5 linked regions of the Coturnix japonica genome follow. The protein of the gene in region 5 interacts with the protein of the main gene of each other region in a pairwise test. Links are inferred from orthologs where the notes say so. Each region holds a gene or a part of one and is shown on either strand. Other genes may lie near its edges.

Evidence for each region.
Region 1: the proteins of GADD45G (region 5) and ARPC5L interact in binary tests that used the Homo sapiens proteins (3 or more experiments, as listed by UniProt). The link is inferred for Coturnix japonica from reciprocal best matches to the Homo sapiens genes GADD45G and ARPC5L.
Region 2: the proteins of GADD45G (region 5) and LRIF1 interact in binary tests that used the Homo sapiens proteins (3 or more experiments, as listed by UniProt). The link is inferred for Coturnix japonica from reciprocal best matches to the Homo sapiens genes GADD45G and LRIF1.
Region 3: the proteins of GADD45G (region 5) and AFAP1L1 interact in binary tests that used the Homo sapiens proteins (3 or more experiments, as listed by UniProt). The two-hybrid records come from large-scale screens. The link is inferred for Coturnix japonica from reciprocal best matches to the Homo sapiens genes GADD45G and AFAP1L1.
Region 4: the proteins of GADD45G (region 5) and TSNAX interact in binary tests that used the Homo sapiens proteins (3 or more experiments, as listed by UniProt). The two-hybrid records come from large-scale screens. The link is inferred for Coturnix japonica from reciprocal best matches to the Homo sapiens genes GADD45G and TSNAX.

The regions. Positions count from the first base shown.
Region 1 is NC_029532.1:8,069,287-8,073,292, forward strand, and holds the start of ARPC5L (actin-related protein 2/3 complex subunit 5-like protein), read right to left. Parts: upstream 2,804-4,006; 5' UTR 2,756-2,803; coding exon 2,616-2,755; intron 2,196-2,615; coding exon 2,123-2,195; intron 1,604-2,122; coding exon 1,427-1,603; intron 1-1,426. Other genes in the region: PPP6C (serine/threonine-protein phosphatase 6 catalytic subunit), read right to left, coding at 3,238-3,486. UniProt on the Homo sapiens protein: May function as component of the Arp2/3 complex which is involved in regulation of actin polymerization and together with an activating nucleation-promoting factor (NPF) mediates the formation of branched actin networks.
Region 2 is NC_029541.1:1,449,725-1,453,058, forward strand, and holds part of LRIF1 (ligand-dependent nuclear receptor-interacting factor 1), read right to left. Parts: intron 2,931-3,334; 5' UTR 2,918-2,930; coding exon 1,415-2,917; intron 1-1,414. UniProt on the Homo sapiens protein: Together with SMCHD1, involved in chromosome X inactivation in females by promoting the compaction of heterochromatin.
Region 3 is NC_029528.1:10,486,772-10,490,287, forward strand, and holds part of AFAP1L1 (actin filament-associated protein 1-like 1), read right to left. Parts: coding exon 3,491-3,516; intron 3,366-3,490; coding exon 3,154-3,365; intron 3,043-3,153; coding exon 2,897-3,042; intron 2,345-2,896; coding exon 2,266-2,344; intron 2,147-2,265; coding exon 2,032-2,146; intron 1,832-2,031; coding exon 1,667-1,831; intron 1,437-1,666; coding exon 1,258-1,436; intron 1,045-1,257; coding exon 916-1,044; intron 522-915; coding exon 498-521; 3' UTR 1-497. UniProt on the Homo sapiens protein: May be involved in podosome and invadosome formation.
Region 4 is NC_029518.1:35,684,655-35,688,170, forward strand, and holds part of TSNAX (translin-associated protein X), read right to left. Parts: coding exon 3,453-3,516; intron 1,244-3,452; coding exon 1,113-1,243; intron 1-1,112.
Region 5 is NC_029547.1:39,082,532-39,086,100, reverse strand, and holds GADD45G (growth arrest and DNA damage-inducible protein GADD45 gamma), read right to left. Parts: upstream 2,213-3,569; 5' UTR 1,987-2,212; coding exon 1,934-1,986; intron 1,857-1,933; coding exon 1,755-1,856; intron 1,667-1,754; coding exon 1,453-1,666; intron 1,210-1,452; coding exon 1,099-1,209; 3' UTR 517-1,098; downstream 1-516. UniProt on the Homo sapiens protein: Involved in the regulation of growth and apoptosis. Mediates activation of stress-responsive MTK1/MEKK4 MAPKKK.

The sequences.
Region 1 (4,006 bases), on a different chromosome or scaffold from region 5:
ACATTTCAGCTCCTTGCCTGTTCCTGTCTTGGGCCATGAACTCGGGAGCTCTATGCCCCCTGTCCTCTCTGAACGTACAGATGAGCTCCTTCTTTGACCCAGGTTTTTGCAGTACATACACAGCGCTACTCTCTAAACATGCTATAAATCTAAGAAGCAAGGAAATGAAGGGTGGACAAAACAGCTCATTGTAACACATCCCACCACATCTGAAGGCTAAAGTACACAAAACCTTATGAACTGACTTGCATCTAGTGAAGGACACCGATGATGCAGAATACCTTACACTCCTGCTCCTGAATGGGGAAAGGAGGAAGGGCTTAGTCTGGTTTCATTTGCATCCTTAATAAAAATGAAACATTCTTCTAAAGTCTAGGAGGAGATGCATGTAAGTGAGGGCCGCAGAGGAGCTGCTCAGATTAGACCTGACGGATGCAGAAATGGCATCAGGCCCTTCCAGGGGCCAGGCAGGTGCTGCTGAGCTGCTGCCCACAGTCAGAGTGAGCTGCACGTCCTGCCTGCACTGCTGGAAAGCAGAACACAAAGCTCTAAGCAGCTCCCTGCACACTGCACAACTGCAGCTTTCCTTTGAAAACAAAGGGGAAGAGATGCTTGCACGTGTCTACGTGTTCTGAGCAGTGACTTCTTTCCAGTCAGGGCAGTCTTGTGTAATGTTACGTACTGGGAGTATCAACCTACGGTGACCCAAAAAGAGCCTCCAGTAGGAAGAACAACACAAAATGTCAAGCACAAACATGTTCCTTCCTGTGCAATTTCCTCCCCCTCCTGCCTATCGATATTCTGCAAGGCTGGGGACAGCTGCCAGGAGCTGGAGTCACCATTGCACAACTTGTTTTAACTCATCACAAGGAAGCACGCCCTGTGCAAATGACCGGCCAGCAGCCAGCTGTGAGCACAGCACATACAGCCCCCCTCGCTGCGACCCTGCCACAGAAACGCCACTAAGTGCCACTGAGGCATCAAAGCCTTTACTGTGCAAACTGAGCAGGTTTGCTATAACTGGTCAGCTCGGATGTACTTCAGCACAGCGTTTCACTGACAAAAAGCATCACATCTGAGCCATCCTGGGCACCCCATGAGCCAAAGGCACCTTCAATCAATCAATCAATCAATCTCACCTCCACTCCCAGCTGCTGCTCCTTGTGGGGGAAACCACCACCAGACACAAGTCATAAACCTTCCTGCAGCTGACGCTGCTCTGCCACACCCACCCCTCCCATCCCTCCAGGCTGAGGAGAGCTCTGAAGTACCACAGAAACTCCATACGCCCAACACCAAGAGGCCAAGAACAAAAGGCAGCACCGAGCTCTGCTCCTCAGGGAGGATCCCCCTCATCGCACACCTCCCCATCCAGGAGGTCCTGAAAGCACCGACAGTGACAACAGAGCCCAGAGCAAACACTCACCTTTTCATGCCATTGGAGTAATATTGCACTGCTATTTTCTGTCGGCTTTTCAAATCCTTTATAAATATACTTCATTAACAAGTCAATCCCGTTTCTGTCTAAGGAGTTCACCGCTTGTTCAATTTCACTGCTCTTAAAAGACGTGAGGACTCTGAGCATGGTGCCCTGCGCCTGCTCCTGCACAGGAAGGAAAACGGCATTAGGATCAGCAAAGCTGGATGTGACCCCAAGTGCAGCAAAGCACTCGGAGCAGCGGCTGCGCTGATGGTGTGAAGATGCAGCAGCCAAACAGGAGGAAGTTTTACACTTTAAGTTTCAGTAGTGAGAAGGAAGAAGAGCAGAGAGCTTTAAAACTGGACTTGTTGGTGTTCCCACCTGGGGGGAACCACCTGAACTGCACTGCAGAACAAACCTACAGCCCGAGAACAACGAACAACGTCCGGCTCCTGCAGCACAAGATCCCCTGGGCTGTGCTCTGTGCTCCCTCTCAGCCCCCGGCTGCTGCCGGCCGCGTTTCCCCACAGCACGGGCCGCTCCCCGGGCACACAGCAGCACCGGGCCGTCCTACAGCAGCACCGCGACACCCGCACACAAACCGCAGCGCCGTCCTTCAAGAGCAGACGGACGGGAGGTGCCATGGAGCACAAGGTCAGCGCCGGGGGCGCCGCTCGTTACCGGTCCCGGGGCCGCACTCACCTTCATGGCCGCGCTGCGCGTCTGTGCGGGGTTGTTCCTTAGGGCCGCGTGCAGCGCGCGCAGCGCTTCGCCTCTACGGCGAGAGTCAAGGAGCAACGGCGGCACCGGGAGCACCGGGACGGAGCGATAAGGGGAGGGGGCAGGGGAGGAGGGCGCTGCAAAGCGGGTACCTGAACTACGGCCACACAACGGCAGCGGGGAGGGACGGGACCGGGGGCAGCACGGAGGGCAGCACCAAGCAGCACCGAGCAGCACCGGGCAGCACCGGGCAGCACCGAGCGGCACCGGGCGATACCGGGCAGCACCGGGCGATACCAGCCAGCACCGGGCAGTACCGGGCAGTACGGGGCAGTACCGAGCAGTACCGAGCAGTACCGGGCGATACCGGGCAGCACCGGGCAGTACCGAGCAGCCTCAGGCCGCGCTCCCGCCCCGCAAACCTTCCCGAGGCCCCGCGGGCAGCGCTCGGTGGCCGTGCCGCCATGAAGGATACTGCCTCAGCAGCGCCTCCACCTCGGGGCTCGCGTCGGGTTCGGCCGCCGCCGCCTCCTCGGGCTCCTCCACGAAGCGGTTCTCGTCGTACTGATCGATGTCCAGGCGGCGGAAGCGGGACGAGAGCGTGCTCCGCGCCATGCCGACGGAACCGGAACCGTCGGAACCGGAACCTCCCCCGCCGCTCCGCCGGAACCGGAAGCGCGGAGCCCGCCCCGCCCGGAGCAGGAAGGAGCGGAGCGGAGTGCGCCCCCCCGTCCCGTCCCGTCCCGTCCCGTCCCGTCCGGCGCCACGGAGCGACACGGCGCTGAAAAACCACAACGAGCCTTTAATTACAAAGTGGGCGGCGGCACCAACGGCCGCGGAACTTTGCTGCTGAAATCTCGTACATCTACGGGAGACGAACGGAGCCGCACGGAGCACCGGGAGCAGCCGAACGGCGCCGCTCAGCGGAGAAACGAACAACGAGCGGTTCGGATCCGCACAAATGGATCCGGGGGAGGGCGGGGAAACGGCTGCGCAGCGCAATGACAACGAACGGCGATAAGTTAAAGATAAAAGGCAGAGGCGGCATCTCAGCAGCAAAGTGCTCAATAAAAAGTATATTGTAGGGCGGGGGCGGCTCAGAGGAAGTAGGGGGTGGTTGTCCGGGGAGGGATCACCCGCTCTGAGTCTGGGACGGCGCGGAACAGCCTCGGTTCTCTCGTATTTACGTCCTGGAAGACCATGATGGAAGCGATGTTCCCGCAGCGATAGCAGTAATTGGGAGCTGACCACACCGTTACCAACTTCTCGTCAAACATGAATTTGTAGCCTTCGTGAACCAGCTGATGTGCTCTGCAGATGAGCTTCAGGTTGTTGATGTGGACAAACTGCAAAGAAAAGTGGCGTGTCACAGCTCTGTGCGTGGCCGCGCAGCAGCTGCTGCCCAGCAGAGCTCCTCAGCGCTGTGTGGGCCCAGCTCCGGGCTCAGCTCTGGGCTCTGCAGCGCTGACAGCACTGACCCACCCGGGAGGTTTTCCCAAGGCCTCTGAGAGGTGCAGGCTGTGCTAAGGACACTCCCTGTGTCCCTGTGCTCCCAGCACAGCTCTGCGGCCCCAGCCATGTGTGCCCAGCACCCCCACAGAGCTGGGACTGAGCTGATGGTGCTGGGAGCAAACCGCTCCTGTCAGAGCACAGAGGGCAACTTTGGGCTTTGAAACCTGAACAGTGAGAAACACTCCTGCCTGTGACAGCCGTGGTGCCTAGGCCTGCACTGCCCACGCCTTTCAATCCCTCCTGAATATGCTGCAGAGGAGCAGAGAACAACACACTGCATGAGGCAGGGATTCATCTTAGGGCCGGTTCAGAAGCCTGGGAAGTTCAGTGGGTCTGAGCCTCTTACTATGTTGC
Region 2 (3,334 bases), on a different chromosome or scaffold from region 5:
CAGAAACAGTAAGAGAACCATGAATCTCTCCATGTATGCAAAAGCCTTATTTTACTAAAAACCCTAATGGCAATTTGTTATTTTTCCACAAGTTGCATTTAAGACATGTAAGCCAAATTAAAGACAGATTATCAAAGGTCTAACATTCTTATTAGTTACTTAAAACACCAGGTACACTGCACAACATCCAGTAAATGCAAAGTCCAACTAGTAAACTAATGAATTAAAAGAAGCAACGAGGGCGTCAACTATCCTGAAGGTCATAAGCATCAAAGGAAGATGACCAAAGATCAGTTTTCTATACATCATCACTTTCAGACTGCTGAAATCAGTTCATATTTGCATTATGGTTGATAATTCCAACAAAGCACAATTTAACACCTCTCATATCTAATCCTCACTGTAACCTGAACTGGCTTTTTTTAATATCCAAGATCAGGCCCATGTTGCTACATCTGGCATTCATAGGCTTGCAAAGTTAGGGACCAAAAGTCAACAACTGAAATGCTATTTTTCACAGATATTAATTCAAATGCTACCACTTGGCATCATAAAGCCCTCATGAAAAAAGTCTACTTGAACAGTTTTTTGGAAGTGAGGAAGAGGTCCTACAGTCTACTGCAATGAATAAATGCCTGAAATGTGCATACGCACACTTATCTGACATTTCTCTTTGGTCTGATTCTTCACCTGGAGGCAAAATCCTCCTGTCTTTGCGAGCAATTGAAATGTTGACTTCCAATCCCTCATAAGTACAGAGTTTGAGGAATTTGCAGATATTTGAGATATTTCTTACATTATGATTTTAAAAGAATACATAGGCAGTCAAAAGGGGGACAGCATTGTTGCCATTAAAGATCAAGCCATAAGACAAAGGATCCCACTTGCATCCCAGCGTGAAAGAAAGGAAAAGCAGCTCTTGCCTTTGGCTCTATCAGCAAGCAGAAACTGGAGGAGGAACACCAGTTTGTCTCAAAATGACAACCTCTGCTTGCCTGCCCTGTCTTCCTTTCACATCATTTCAAGCTTCCCTACTTCACAGCCAATGGCCATGCTGTGAGTGATGCTATGTTAAAAAGCAGAGAGCAACCAGAGCTCCAGTGCTGAACAGCTTGCCCATACTCTCATGTGCCACAACTAATATTGCGAAGAAACAAACAGACATCTTGTCCCTGCCTTTTTTTTTTTTCTTTATGCCTTTTCCCATTTGCACAGAGCAATTTTACTGGGAAAAAAAAATAATCTTTCTTGAATTAAAAAAATAAAATATCACACTTTAGACCATCATTTCTGGTGACAGGTTACCAGGTAAGAACAGTCCATCAACTTATGAGAAAGCCATTTCACTTAAACAGACCCAGGAGCATATAACAATTTAGCAGAGACTGAGATTGGTCACGTTTATTGGAGTTACCTTTTGCAAGTCTTCACTGAAAGCACACTCGTGTTCAGACTGAGGTAAAACAGCACTTGCTGCTTTTGGGGAATGAATCATTTCCTTGCCATCTTGGCATGTATTTTCCTGCATCCCTAATGCCGTAACTGGGGTCATTCCACTTGAGATGCTCTCCATGAAGGGCAAACTCTTTCCCTGGTTTACAGTGGAACTCTCCTCCTCAACACTTGGAGTCACCAGAGCTGCAGGTGCAGATTTTAAGTCATTTCTTAAATCTCCAGGTGAAGAAACATTAGAGTTTGTATGCACTTTAGGATCTTCCTGAGGTAACAGCATTCCTTTGCTTTTGGACCATAACAGATTCACCACTTTGTTGCTTATTTTAGCGACTTCAGTAGAATCAATTAGTTTGGATGTTGCCTTTTTAAGCGAAGCACCACATGAGGAAGATGTCTGCATGTCAGCTTGGGCCGTCAAAACATCAGAGCCTCTCCTGGTCAATAAATAGACTTTCCCATTATACATGACCAGAGCATTTTCCTTAATGGATGTGATTTTTGTCTGGCTTACACCAGAACCACTAGTACAGAGTGCCAAAATATTTGCAGAGCTAGCTTCTACATTCTTCATATCTGACAGAGTTTTCAAGATCTTGGAAGCCACGTTATTTGATGACTTTACAGGAACAAGGCAAGGCGCTGGCAACTGTGGACCTTCTTGCACAATCCATTTCATTGGTGTATGCTGGCACTGCTGACCATCACACGTTCCTGTCTCAGGAGAAGAGCTACATGCCTCTTGTGGAGATGTCATTAGCAACGTTTTTGAAACATCTGGGGCAGGTTTGGGGTCAACAGCTTGCAAACGCTTGGGAACTGCTGTTTTCACTGCGTTCACGGGTGACACATAAATCACAGTTGGCATTTTTTTACTATCAGCTCCATCAGACACATTTGTTGCTGCAGCGGCAAGTATTTTTTGCTGGATTGAAGCTGGTAAAAAAGAAGCTGGAATATATTTCACTTCCGCATCTGCTGGTATCTGGAGGTGGTGGCCAGAGGGCAGTACTGGAGGCTTCACAGAAATGGGATTATCTTTTCTGTTTACTGACACGCATGCGGTGTGACTCTGTTCAGATGAACTTGTTATGGCAGCGTTCTGCAAAGACTGTCTATCAACTGAAACACAACTACTCTGGACATCAGCAGCTGATTCTGTCATCAAGCTTTCTTTATCAGAACCTGCTCTAACACCTCCCTGTTTGTCTAAAGTCCTTGCAAGGATAATCTTTCCAGAATTAGGAGACTGAAAAACAGGTATCGTAACAGATGAAGGTGCAGCAGTACTGGCAAGCTGTGTCTTAAAAGCAAGATGAACTGGACTAGTAACATTCATATTAGGATTATTTGACATGGCCGAAGACTGAACTATTGGCACAAAGTTTCCAGATGATTTAGAAATTGGGAGTAATTTCAGAAGGTTTTTTCCATCTGGTCCCGTCGTCTGAACTACTCGGTACATACAGCCTGCAATGCTTAACAAAACAAAGAAAGGAGATAAGAAAGGAAAAAAAGAAAAAAAAGAAGAAAAAAAAAGAAAAAAAAGAAAGTATAAGTGAACACAGAACAGCTAATTTAATTAATGTCCATCAGTGAATTGCACATCCAGTGCTGCTATGCCTTAGAAACAGACTGACTACCAAAAAAAAAATCCAGATCTGATTTTCAACAACTTCAGAGGCAAAAATTTGATCATACTGTACGTTTGGGGTTAGCATTTCAGAGCACCAGACTGCACATAACATCCAGCAATTACACCATGGAGAAGCAAGAAAGAGCATCCTTCTCAGAAACCAGTGAGTTTAAAGACCCAAGGAAACAAATTATCTTCCTCTTCTGCTCAGCTATCTCCAGCTTTCACAGAATAGCCTTTTTTTTG
Region 3 (3,516 bases), on a different chromosome or scaffold from region 5:
GGCTGCATCTGTCCCACGTGCTGTCTGTGTCACACAGGTATGTGCCTTGTGCCAAGCTCCTGGCCACAGAGATAGGTTCCCCAGTAATACATGACCCTGATCACCAAAGGACTCCTGTTCCCCACCTGCCTCCCCAGTCATAGGATGGCTTAGGTTGGAGGGGACCTTAAAGATCGTCCTAACCCTAACCCCCCCCCCCACCATGGGCAGAGTTGCCAACCTCTAGATCAGGCTGCCCAGGATCCCATCCCACCTGGCGCTGAATGCCTCCAAAGATGGGGCATCCACAGCTTCTCTGGGCAGCCTGTTCCAGCGCCTCACCCCCCCCTCTGTGTAAATCCCCTCCCCTACAGTCCATAGTGTTGCCCATGTGGCAGGTGCTGTAGCAGAGGGGCAAGGGAGGGCACTTCTCCCCACGCCTGGGAGAGTGGGGCCTTGTAGCTCCTCAGTGGGCCACAGTGTCCATTGGAGCCTGGCAGATGTTCCCACTGCTTGCTTTAAGTCTGCTTCTTTTCCCATTCCTGCAAGAGAAAAGAAAAAAAAAGAGGGGGATGAAGAGATATCAGAGGCTGGAGGAGTGAGCACTGAGCCCTTTGAGTGTCTCCTTCCCTCCCGGGGGCTTTGGACCACCCCAGCATCTCCAAAGGCTGGTGAGTGCTGCCGTGGGCATTGAAGAGGTAATACTTTCACTGCTGCCCACCCAGCCCTGGGCCCCTCAAATCTCCTGCAGGGTAAGTTCACATCAGTAGCCTCTGCCACTGAAGGGAACCAGCCCAGATGCAACCCAGGCTGCATCCCTTGTGTTTGGAGTAAGGAGCATCCACAGTCCCCCAAATTCTTGGTCATATATGGGGACAGGATGAAAAACTGAGATTTCCTTAGGAGCCAGGGAAGAGAGGAGGAATGAAGCAGGACCTTGGCTTTCCTCAGCACATTGCCCTTGTTGGCAGGAAGGATGGAAGGGCTTCTCTTTCTCAGTTCAGCTGCGCTGTTAACAGGAACCAAGTGCTCAGGGGGGCTCCCATTTGGCTTGTTTGTAGCTTCCTGTGGAAAAGAAGGATATACAAAACCTAAGGAGCAGAAAGTGCCAGGAAAGCACAAACCGTCATGGAGTCAAAGCTTACGTCAGTGCTTTGCTTCCTACCTCTAACAGCAATGTGATAAAGATCAGGGGTGTCTTCTCATCCCCACTGCTGCTTATTCCCTCCCCAAACCCCTTTGCAGGTGCCAGAGGAGCAAGGAAAAAGAGGTGCGTACCCCATTCTCAGCCTTGCCAGTCACAGCCAGCCCCAGGGCCGGCCCTCCTGCCAACGACTGCTTCAGCTGCTCCTTCACTTCGCTTAGCTGGAGCTCCAGGTCGACGCGGCGCTCCTCCTTCTGCCGGCACTGCTCCTCCAACAAAGCCACACGCTGCTCCAGGTCCTGCAGCTTCACTCCTGGACACATAAGTACCTGGTTCAGTGGCTGAGGTTACCAAGGCCGGGCAGTCATCCATTCTCTTGGGTAGTGACACTAGATGGGGCTGCTGGCCAAGCAGTGTGCTGCAGCCAAGCCTGAGCATGGTCACAAGTGTCACAGCCACACTGCAAGCCTTGCATTCCCATCTGGGCCCTTCCCATCGTACCCGGGTGCCTTTGAGCATCCTCAGCCACAGTATGCAACCTACCTGAGCTGCTTTTCATGGCTTCCCGCAGCTCTCTCCTCTCTTTCCGCAGCAGTACCAGCTCACTGCGGATTGCTGCTTTTTCCTTCTCCAGCTTATCCTTCTCTGTCAGAAAACGCCTGGCATCCTCCTCAGCCCGGTTCTTCCCATACCTGTACTGGTTGGCATCTGCATGTACAAAGAGAGCCAGTCACAATGACTCCAGCCTAAGAAAGCCCCACCTGAGCCCAACATGAACTGCAAGGATACCCCTCATGGTCCCACTGTGCTGGCACAGCCCAACCCAGGACCCCCTGGTGGGATCAGCCTCCACACAGAGGCCAGGGGCTTCCTCCACTCTGAGTGTCCCCTGGCAGACCCCCACTCACTTGATGCGTGTCTCTTCACTTTGACCTGTGGGTCAATTCGCCGCGACTTCTCGCTGCAGGAGGAGGCATGGCGCTTCACCTGGGCTCCCGCTGGCCGTCCTGACTCCTCCTCAGCCTGCAGCGGGGACAGGAAAGCATACTGAAACATCTATGGGGCTGCCACGACCCACCGAGCATCCCCAGGACATCTCCTTCACAGCGGTGGGACGTGGTAAGGCCCTGAGTCACGCTCACCTGAACCTTTTCATAGGGGACATCATCGTACACCACACGGGAGGAGTCAGGTCGGCTGTCCTGGGAGCTGCTGGCCCACCTGTGGGACAAGGGATGAATGTGCCATGGGCTTCCTATCCAGGACATCCCTGCCAGCCCCATAACGGGCTCTTTAGTCTCACTGCTCTCCCAGCTCTGGGCAGGGACACAGCTTTGCTTTTGTCTGCTCACCCTGCCCTATCTAAGCAAACAAATCCCTTAGGTCCTTCGTCAGCATTAATAAAGAATCATGCAGTCGTAGAATCATAAAATGTCTTGGGTTGGAAAGGACCTCAGAAATCCTCTCATTCCAACTCTTCTGCCACAAGTAGGGTTGCCAAATACTAAATCAGACACTAGATCAGATTGCCCAAGGCCCCATCCAACCTGGCCTTGAATGGGGTATCCACAACTTCTCAAAAAGCACCTTCTAATTTCAGTCCTGCCCAAGGGAAGATGCATTGCTTTGAGAAATACAGCCTCTGGGATGTCCTTTTTATCTCCTGGGATCTTGAGAAAACCCCATCCCAGTCTGTGCCCCTGCCCAAGAGCCCAGGATGAAGCCCACCATCCCACCTCATCGTGGTTTAGCACAGCACGAGGAAAGTCTTACAGGTAGGAGTGCCTGACGGCTGTCACAATGTTAGCAATCGTCTCCACATCCACATAGTCATAGTGTAAAGCCTCCGGTGCAGTCTTGGAGCCCGTCTCCACCAAGAGAAGGCCCAGCCAGCGGCCCAGATCTTCTGAGCAGCTTGCCTGTAAAAAGAGAAGGGGCTGGGGAGCATGCCTGGCTTCAAGTGACCCTCACTCCTACCCCAAAACACAAAGCCCCGCTGCAGGGAAGGGGCTGAAGTGTGCCCTGCTCACCTCTAACGCAGCCACCTCCTGCCCACTGCGCAGGATACGGAATGCAAAGGGGTGTTTGGGGCCCAGCCCTGGGACCACCTCACAGCCCCGGAGGTTGATGGCGTTGACGTGGGTGCGCAGGTCGGTGCGGTCCTTGTGGAAGTAGAGGGTGTTGGCCTTGAGGCGGCACCAGCGCTCCTTCCAGCACTGGTTGACCAGGACGCTCAAGTAGCCTGAGGATAGAAATGTCTCAGCACCATTTTGGAGCCCCAAGGAGTGCCCTAATTCTCCATGAGCTCAATGGGAGCTCCCACCCCACAGCCCCTCAGAACCCATTTCTGCCCCCAACCCCACAAACCGCAGCATGGGATATCCTCCTCAGTG
Region 4 (3,516 bases), on a different chromosome or scaffold from region 5:
ATACTAAGCGACAGAGGGCAGCAAGATTCACACAGGTTGTAAATGTCTCTCCTACGAGTAACTGCTCACACTTAAATTGAATAACCAAATGTAGCACCACAGGCAGGCTGTGGAATTGAGTTAGAACCATTGAAAACTAGTACGGCAAGTTCAGGAGTGCCAAACTGAACTTTCACTTAAGAGCATCTCACTCTTAGATGACCCTAAGTTCACATACATAAGTAAAAGTTAACTTGCGCTCTGTTTGTCTTGTAAATTACATTTCTTCATAGGTGTATTCATCACCAGCTTATAAAAGTAAAATAATTTTAAAAATTAAATCTGAGCAGCTCTCCCCTGAAGAATTACTGAAGGATTCTTGTCTGAACAAGGAAAGATGCACAGGAAACCGATATATCTATCATAAGATAGGTAAATACAAGATACTTCCATAGCATGACCAAGATGGGAAGGAAGCAGTTACAGACTTTACTTATATATTGCTATAAACAAGGCAAAAGAATTTTAGGTAAGAATCATATTCCATAGCAAAAAAAGTATCTTTTGTCAGCAAAAGTGATGAAAGCACTGGTACTTAGTGTCTCAGGGATGGTATAAAGATTGCTATTTCACAAAGAAGAGCAAAAAAGATGCAACTGAAACATAAAAATTGCATATTCCAAGTCTTTAGAAGAAAGAAAATGCTAATCTAGGGATTTTAAGCCATGAACTTTGTGAATTCACATAGGTATAATTTCACAAGCTAGTCATTCCTTCTCCCTCCCTGAAGTTACAACCTGTTCAACTGGGGTAAATGAGCATGTAGCACACTGTCAAAGACAACTGACCAGTACGTACATTAGAACCACTCCCAGCTTTAGTGTAGGTCAGGGTACAAAGTTATCCAGTTGCAGCAAATCCTTGTTTAACAGCAACACTAACAAGTCTGTGTGATAATAGTCTCTCCAGTATCAGAACTAACTCTGCTAACGACAAAGATGAATCTGAATCCCGCTTTATAACCACAGAAATGTGCTATGTTCAAACCTGCTGCATGAAGAAGAAGAACCACTGCTAGGCAAGATATCAAGTTTAGTGCAAAACAGCACTTTCTGTATTGTAAAATAATTTACCGGGAGATATAGCTCTGTGGAACTGATACATGTCTTCACCGATTAGCTCTTGTGCAACCTGCTTAATCTTCCGTCTGACAGCATCTAATTTGACTTCAGATTCATTTAGTACTTCTTCACCATTGGGAGCACTGAAATCACAAAGCAGAAATTCAAACAGCAGCTTTCAGAATACGAGCAGACAGTTAAAGAAAAACGTTTTAAGTTTTCTATCACTAATACACATTCATAGACTTGAAGGAAAAAAATGGAGCAGATACTGGAATCAGAAATGGTTCAACTTCCATTGACAATTATTGTAGACTCTGAAAGATGGGTTATGCAGACTCCTGTCATGAAAATAATCAGCCAGCCAAGCATAGTTCCAGTAGCATGATATTTATTCTAGATAATAATTCTAACAATTGCTTACGTAAGAACAATGAGAAATACATGTAAATGCTTCATAAGAGTATGCTGGAAATTGAACAGTCTTTGTAGAAGCTCATTAATCTCTTTAAAACAAAAGTATCGGTATTCTGCAGTACATTACAGAACACACATTAAGTACATACATTTTAGACAGTAATGATGAGCTGTGTTATGAAAGAACGGCTGAAATATCTGATTTACAAACAATATATACTTGGCATGTATGTTTAGTTTAACCAATTTCCTTTAAAACCATTCCTGTTCCGATCTCAAACTCTATGTAGTACATTATTAGGTTTACTGGCTATGTGGAGACTACAGATAGACTAGTCTCAAGAAAACATTTAAAAGCAAACTGATTTCAGAAAGTAAAGACATAACAGTGGCTAAAACCAAAGGACTAGGAAAGCAAAATATAGCACGGAAAGCTTCCACTCTCACAAAAACACACGTATCTTAAAAACAGGAATCTAAAATTCAGAATTAACGAGCATCTCATTATTGTTCTTTTCCCTACACTGGGAACAGCTATTCACAGCCAAGGTTGAGGCAGTTACCAGAATTATCGCAGTAATTCCTCACAGAAGACCAAGTAAAAAAGAGGGCAATTTCCTAACATCTATTTATAAATGTTACTACTATGGTAACTAAAAATAGATACTACCAAAACAGATGTGTTCAGGTAAGAAAGAAAAAAATAAATCTGGGAGAAGGAACAGGGAGAGCTGTTTATAGAAGTTACACGTAGAACGAGTAAATATTTTATTCAGCTGGGTACATGAAGCTCTACATTTTCCCATTCTTTTCCTGCTTTGTTTGTGGCTTCCAGTGGTTGCCTGAAGGCTTAGGAGGACACAAAACATACAGAAGTTCAAAGCTTTATGCACAAGACTCTTAGATTGCAGAATGCAGTGAACAATCAAGGCTGCTTTTTGCACTGATTACTGAAGGTGAGGTTACAAGAACCCAAAAGGGGAAATAACAGCAGAGGCAATTAATCTGAAGGAAGGCTGCATGTTCTTCTCTGCCAGCTTGCTGGAAGCTGATAAGCTCTCATCTGCTGTTATACTCTACTACTTTGATCCTGTTTAACATTCCAATAAAACCAACTAAAAAACCTCAGCCAGTATCTATTAATTCTCTAACTGGTGCATGCATTCAGTTGCTAAAGGATGTTTATGGGTAATTAATCTTTCTCAACAAAATATCTCAGCTATTAGTCACAAACACAGAACACTGAAAGACGGCTTCTAGGTTTGTACAGACACTTTAACACTCAGTGTGACTCACAGAATCACAGAATGACCCAGGTTGGAAGGGACCTCAAGGATCATGTAGTTCCAACCCCCTGCCTGGCAGGGCAACCAAACATACACCTTTACTAGATCAGGTTGCCCAGGGCCCTGTCCAACCTGGCCTTGAACACCTCCAAGGACGGGGCATCCACAACCTCCCTGGGCAGCCTGTTCCAGGGCCTAACCACTCTCCTAGTGAAGAACTTCCCCCTCACATCCAACCTAAATCTTCCCTCCTTCAACTTAAAACCATTTCCCCGTGTCCTGCTATTGTCAGCCCTTTTGAAGAGTTTACTCCCCTCCTGGGTGTAAGTTCCCTTCAGGTACTGAAAGGCTGCAATGAGGTCACCCCGCAACCTTCTCTCCTCTAGGCTGAACAAGCCCAACTCCCCCAGCCTGTCCTCATAGGGGAGGTGCTCCAGCCCCTTGATCATCTTCATGGCCCTCCTCTGGACCCTTTCCAAAATCTCCATGTCTTTCTTGTACTGAGGGCTCCACACCTGGACACAGTACTCCAGATGGGGCCTCACAAGAGCCGAGTAGAGAGGGAAATCATCTCCCTATCCCTGCTGACCACCCCTCTCCTGATGGAGCCCAGGATCCCATTTGCTTTCCAGGCAGACAGAGGACTCACCTGATATACCTGTGGAGTAGAAATATTGTTCTTTTGCTTTCGATTGTTATATCACGACTGAGCT
Region 5 (3,569 bases):
GAGAGCAGTTCATAGCAAATGTCATGTTTATTCACTATTAGTTTTTGGTCTAACTAACTAAGTCTAATCAAAGTAAACACTACATGTATTTGACATCTAAGGAGACCTTCAGGTCACCATCACATTTGAGCTGCTTCTGCCATGTAGAAACCTCTATAGCTCCAAATGAGTAACTCATTTAACATGTAATGATGCTATTTACTGGAGATTCGTGTTCCCAGTATCCATGTTTCTAGCATGGACTGTGATCCCCTAGCAGACCGCAAAGACAACATACTACAATAAATGAGCTCATTAAGTATGCAGCTCTTTAGTCTCGCAAGCTGTTGCAGAGGGTGAAAAGCTGGATTATCAACTTGGGAAGCACACTTGTGATCCAGCTGGGCCCAGAGAGAAAGCATGTGAGCAACATCCCTATTACTGTTGAGTATACCTTTGACTACAGTACATGAGCAAAGCAGCAGTGGTATTGCAGTGACATGCTTCCCCACCCAGTAAGCCAGATACTCACAGAAATTAAGTGTCAAAAATTTATTATGAAAGCTTCCATAGCAGCAAACGTTTAAAAAAAAAAAAAACAACAAAAAAACAAAAAAACTATTGCATTATTAAACCAGTACACTGGCCCAGAGGCCTGTTGAAGTCTGTCTGCTTTAAGAGTGTCTGTATTTGCCTTGATAATTAGTCTCTAAAAGTCCAAGAAGTACTGAAGCTTGCTTCTCTTCATGTTTTGTAGACAGCACCAACAGCTTATAGTCACAGTACTGTTCAATCCTGTGAAGTTTTGGACCACTTCCCCTAACTTTCTCTGCTTTCTGAAACAGATCCACTTGACCAGGAAACTTGCAATACTCGTTTCAGTTCCATAGTACATTATCTTCCACACAGCTGCAGTCTACTGACACCCACTGATGAGGTGAGCTATTCTTTTCCTTTCTCCTCTGTAAGAGCCCACAGCATGCCAGTCTGAGTGACTGTAATCCAGTCCCTTGACCAGGCTAATCCATGGAATCAGCAGCTTGTTGCACACTTCGGTGAACCAACACCACGTTGAGAATGCAACAGAGGTTTCAGCCTCCCCAGCATGCCAGGCCATAGTCACTCAGGTAAGACAATAGTTGGCACCCACTCATTGACGTTCCGGCTTTCTTCACAGAAGCAGTTCAGCTTCTCTAAAGCTGGATCCTTCCAGCCATCTTCATTTGAGTTCTGGTAGAAAAGCATCGCACACCATGAGTGCACAAAGTCACAGTATTATTTTACAGAAGCACTAGCTTAAAAAGCAAAGCATTTTCAGAGACAAAGAGCAGGAAGCTGAGCTGTCACCAATGTGGGTGGCAGTGAAACCCCCTTTACAGAAGCACCGCCCCCTGTATCTCAGCAGTTCTGCACCCCAAGGGCTAAGCCCGGCCAGCCCACAGAGCTCCATCCCTCCCAGTCCCAGCCACGCACCGTAATGAGGATGCAGTGCAGGTCTCTGGGCTCACCAGACTCTTCGTTGGATCCCACGGCAGCAGCCAGCTTGGGTAGGTCGTTCACACGCACGATGTCGATGTCATTCTCGCAACAGAAGGCCTGGATGAGGGTGAAGTGGATCTGTAGGGCGATGTCCCCCTCGTCCTCCTCATCGGCCGCCAGCACGCAGAACGCCACGTTATCTGGGTCCCTGCGGGTGGCGAGCACCGTTAGGCCCTAGTAGGGCTTCCTTGCCCCTCGCCCCACTCGCGCTGCCCGCCCCCCCTCACCCCACTCACACGTTCATAAGCTTGGCCGACTCGTAGACGCCGGCAGTGAGGCAGCCGCGGCGCTGCGCCGACACCAGCAGCTCGTGGAGGGCCTTGCCGGCGCCCTGCATCCTGGAAGCCGGAGAGAGCGGTCAGCACGTCACCAGCGCCCGGACAACGGCCACCCCACCTCCCAGCCAACCGCCTACCAGTCCTTGCCCGCGGGCACCGGCTCCTGTCCTTGCGCCTCTTCCAGAGTCATAGCAGCGTGTCGCCAAGCAGCGCTGTCACCGATAACCCCCAGCTCCTCCCAACAACCCAATACCCACGTCCTGCCGCAGCTCCAGCGGCTCCTGCTCCTTTTAAGCCCGCGGAGCTCCGGCGCTGGCAGCTGGCGGCGGCCGGTGCGTTCCCATTGGCGGACGGGGAGCCGGGGGAGCGCTTTGTCATGCTAATGGCCGCACGCCGGGCGGGAGGTGGGGGCGGCTCGTGCCGGGGGGACACGTGGTGGCGCAGGGAGGGCGGCCACGGCCGCGGCGTGGTGGCGTGATCCGCGGGCACGGGGAAGGCGTGTGCCGGGAGGGGGCCCACAGCTGCTGCGTGGCACCGTGCTGCTGCCTTGGGGATGCTGGGGTAGGAGGGTTCCTTCTTAACAGTTGTGCTGAGGCTGCTCGGGAGGTGGGGGAGTCACCATCTCTGGCGGTGTTCATTAATCGTGTGAATGAAGCGTTGAGGGACTTGGGTTAGTGCTCGTGGTGGGGGTGGGTTGGCGGTGGGGCTTGGTGATCTCAGGTCTTTTGCAGCCATTGTGATTCTATGAGTGCTCAAAGGCATTCTCAGCTTGAAAGTCTGCATTGCTACCTGCTGCACTCCCTTAAATGGCATGACTTGAGCTGCTGCTACGGGGTCAGTGTGCATCACCTTAATCTGTTCTTCCAGGTACATAGGTCACTCCTCTTTATTTCCGTAGAAATTACAACAAAGAGTGCAATAGCACTGTTTGATGGAGCAAATTCTCAGCTTCAAAACACATATTTTCAATAGTCACCATCTTTAGCTTTTCATTTTCACCAGCAGTGAACAAGAGCCTTCATCTCATGTTCGTAAACATCTACGCCAGCTGACCTTGCTCAGAGAAGGTCTAGATGCCCCATCCTTGGAGACATTCAAGGCCAGATGGGTGGGGCCTTGGGCAGTCTGATCTGGTGGTTGACAAACTGCCCATGGGATTGGAACTGGATGGCTTTTGTGGTCCCTTCCAGCTCGAAGCATTCTGTGATTTTATGATAGATGACCCACCTATCACTGTCACCACTGCTGAAACACACCACCTACTGCCTTACTGTGATCACATCCACTGTTTGGTCTCTATAAGCAAACATCTATGAATGTCGATAGGTGCCATTTTTTCAGCATGGAGGAATTCAGTGACACAGCTTTGCTCCATACACACTTCCATGTCAGACACTGTTCTGTCAGACTGCCCCTCTGCTGTCACATAGCAACAAAATGCAATGCAGTGTTGGTGGGAAGGTCCAACCTCTACTACCACCTTCCACCTCTGATGTCATGGGCTGACAAAATGGGAGGCATTAATTTCAGAGCAGCCCCAGTGTGCAGCCACAGACCTTTAACACACAAATTCCCATTTCTGCCCACAAGCCCAGTGCCCTGCAGCCACAGACTCCAGCAGACTCTGTGCTGCAGACAGTTCTTTTGTCTGGTGGAGAACTGACAGCACCACGTCCTGGGTAGCTCTGCTGCTGAGTGCTTCAGGTCATTCAGTATCAGGGTGGGCCCACCACACATCAGTGCCACGCAGGCACCATGAAGCACATTTTGCCA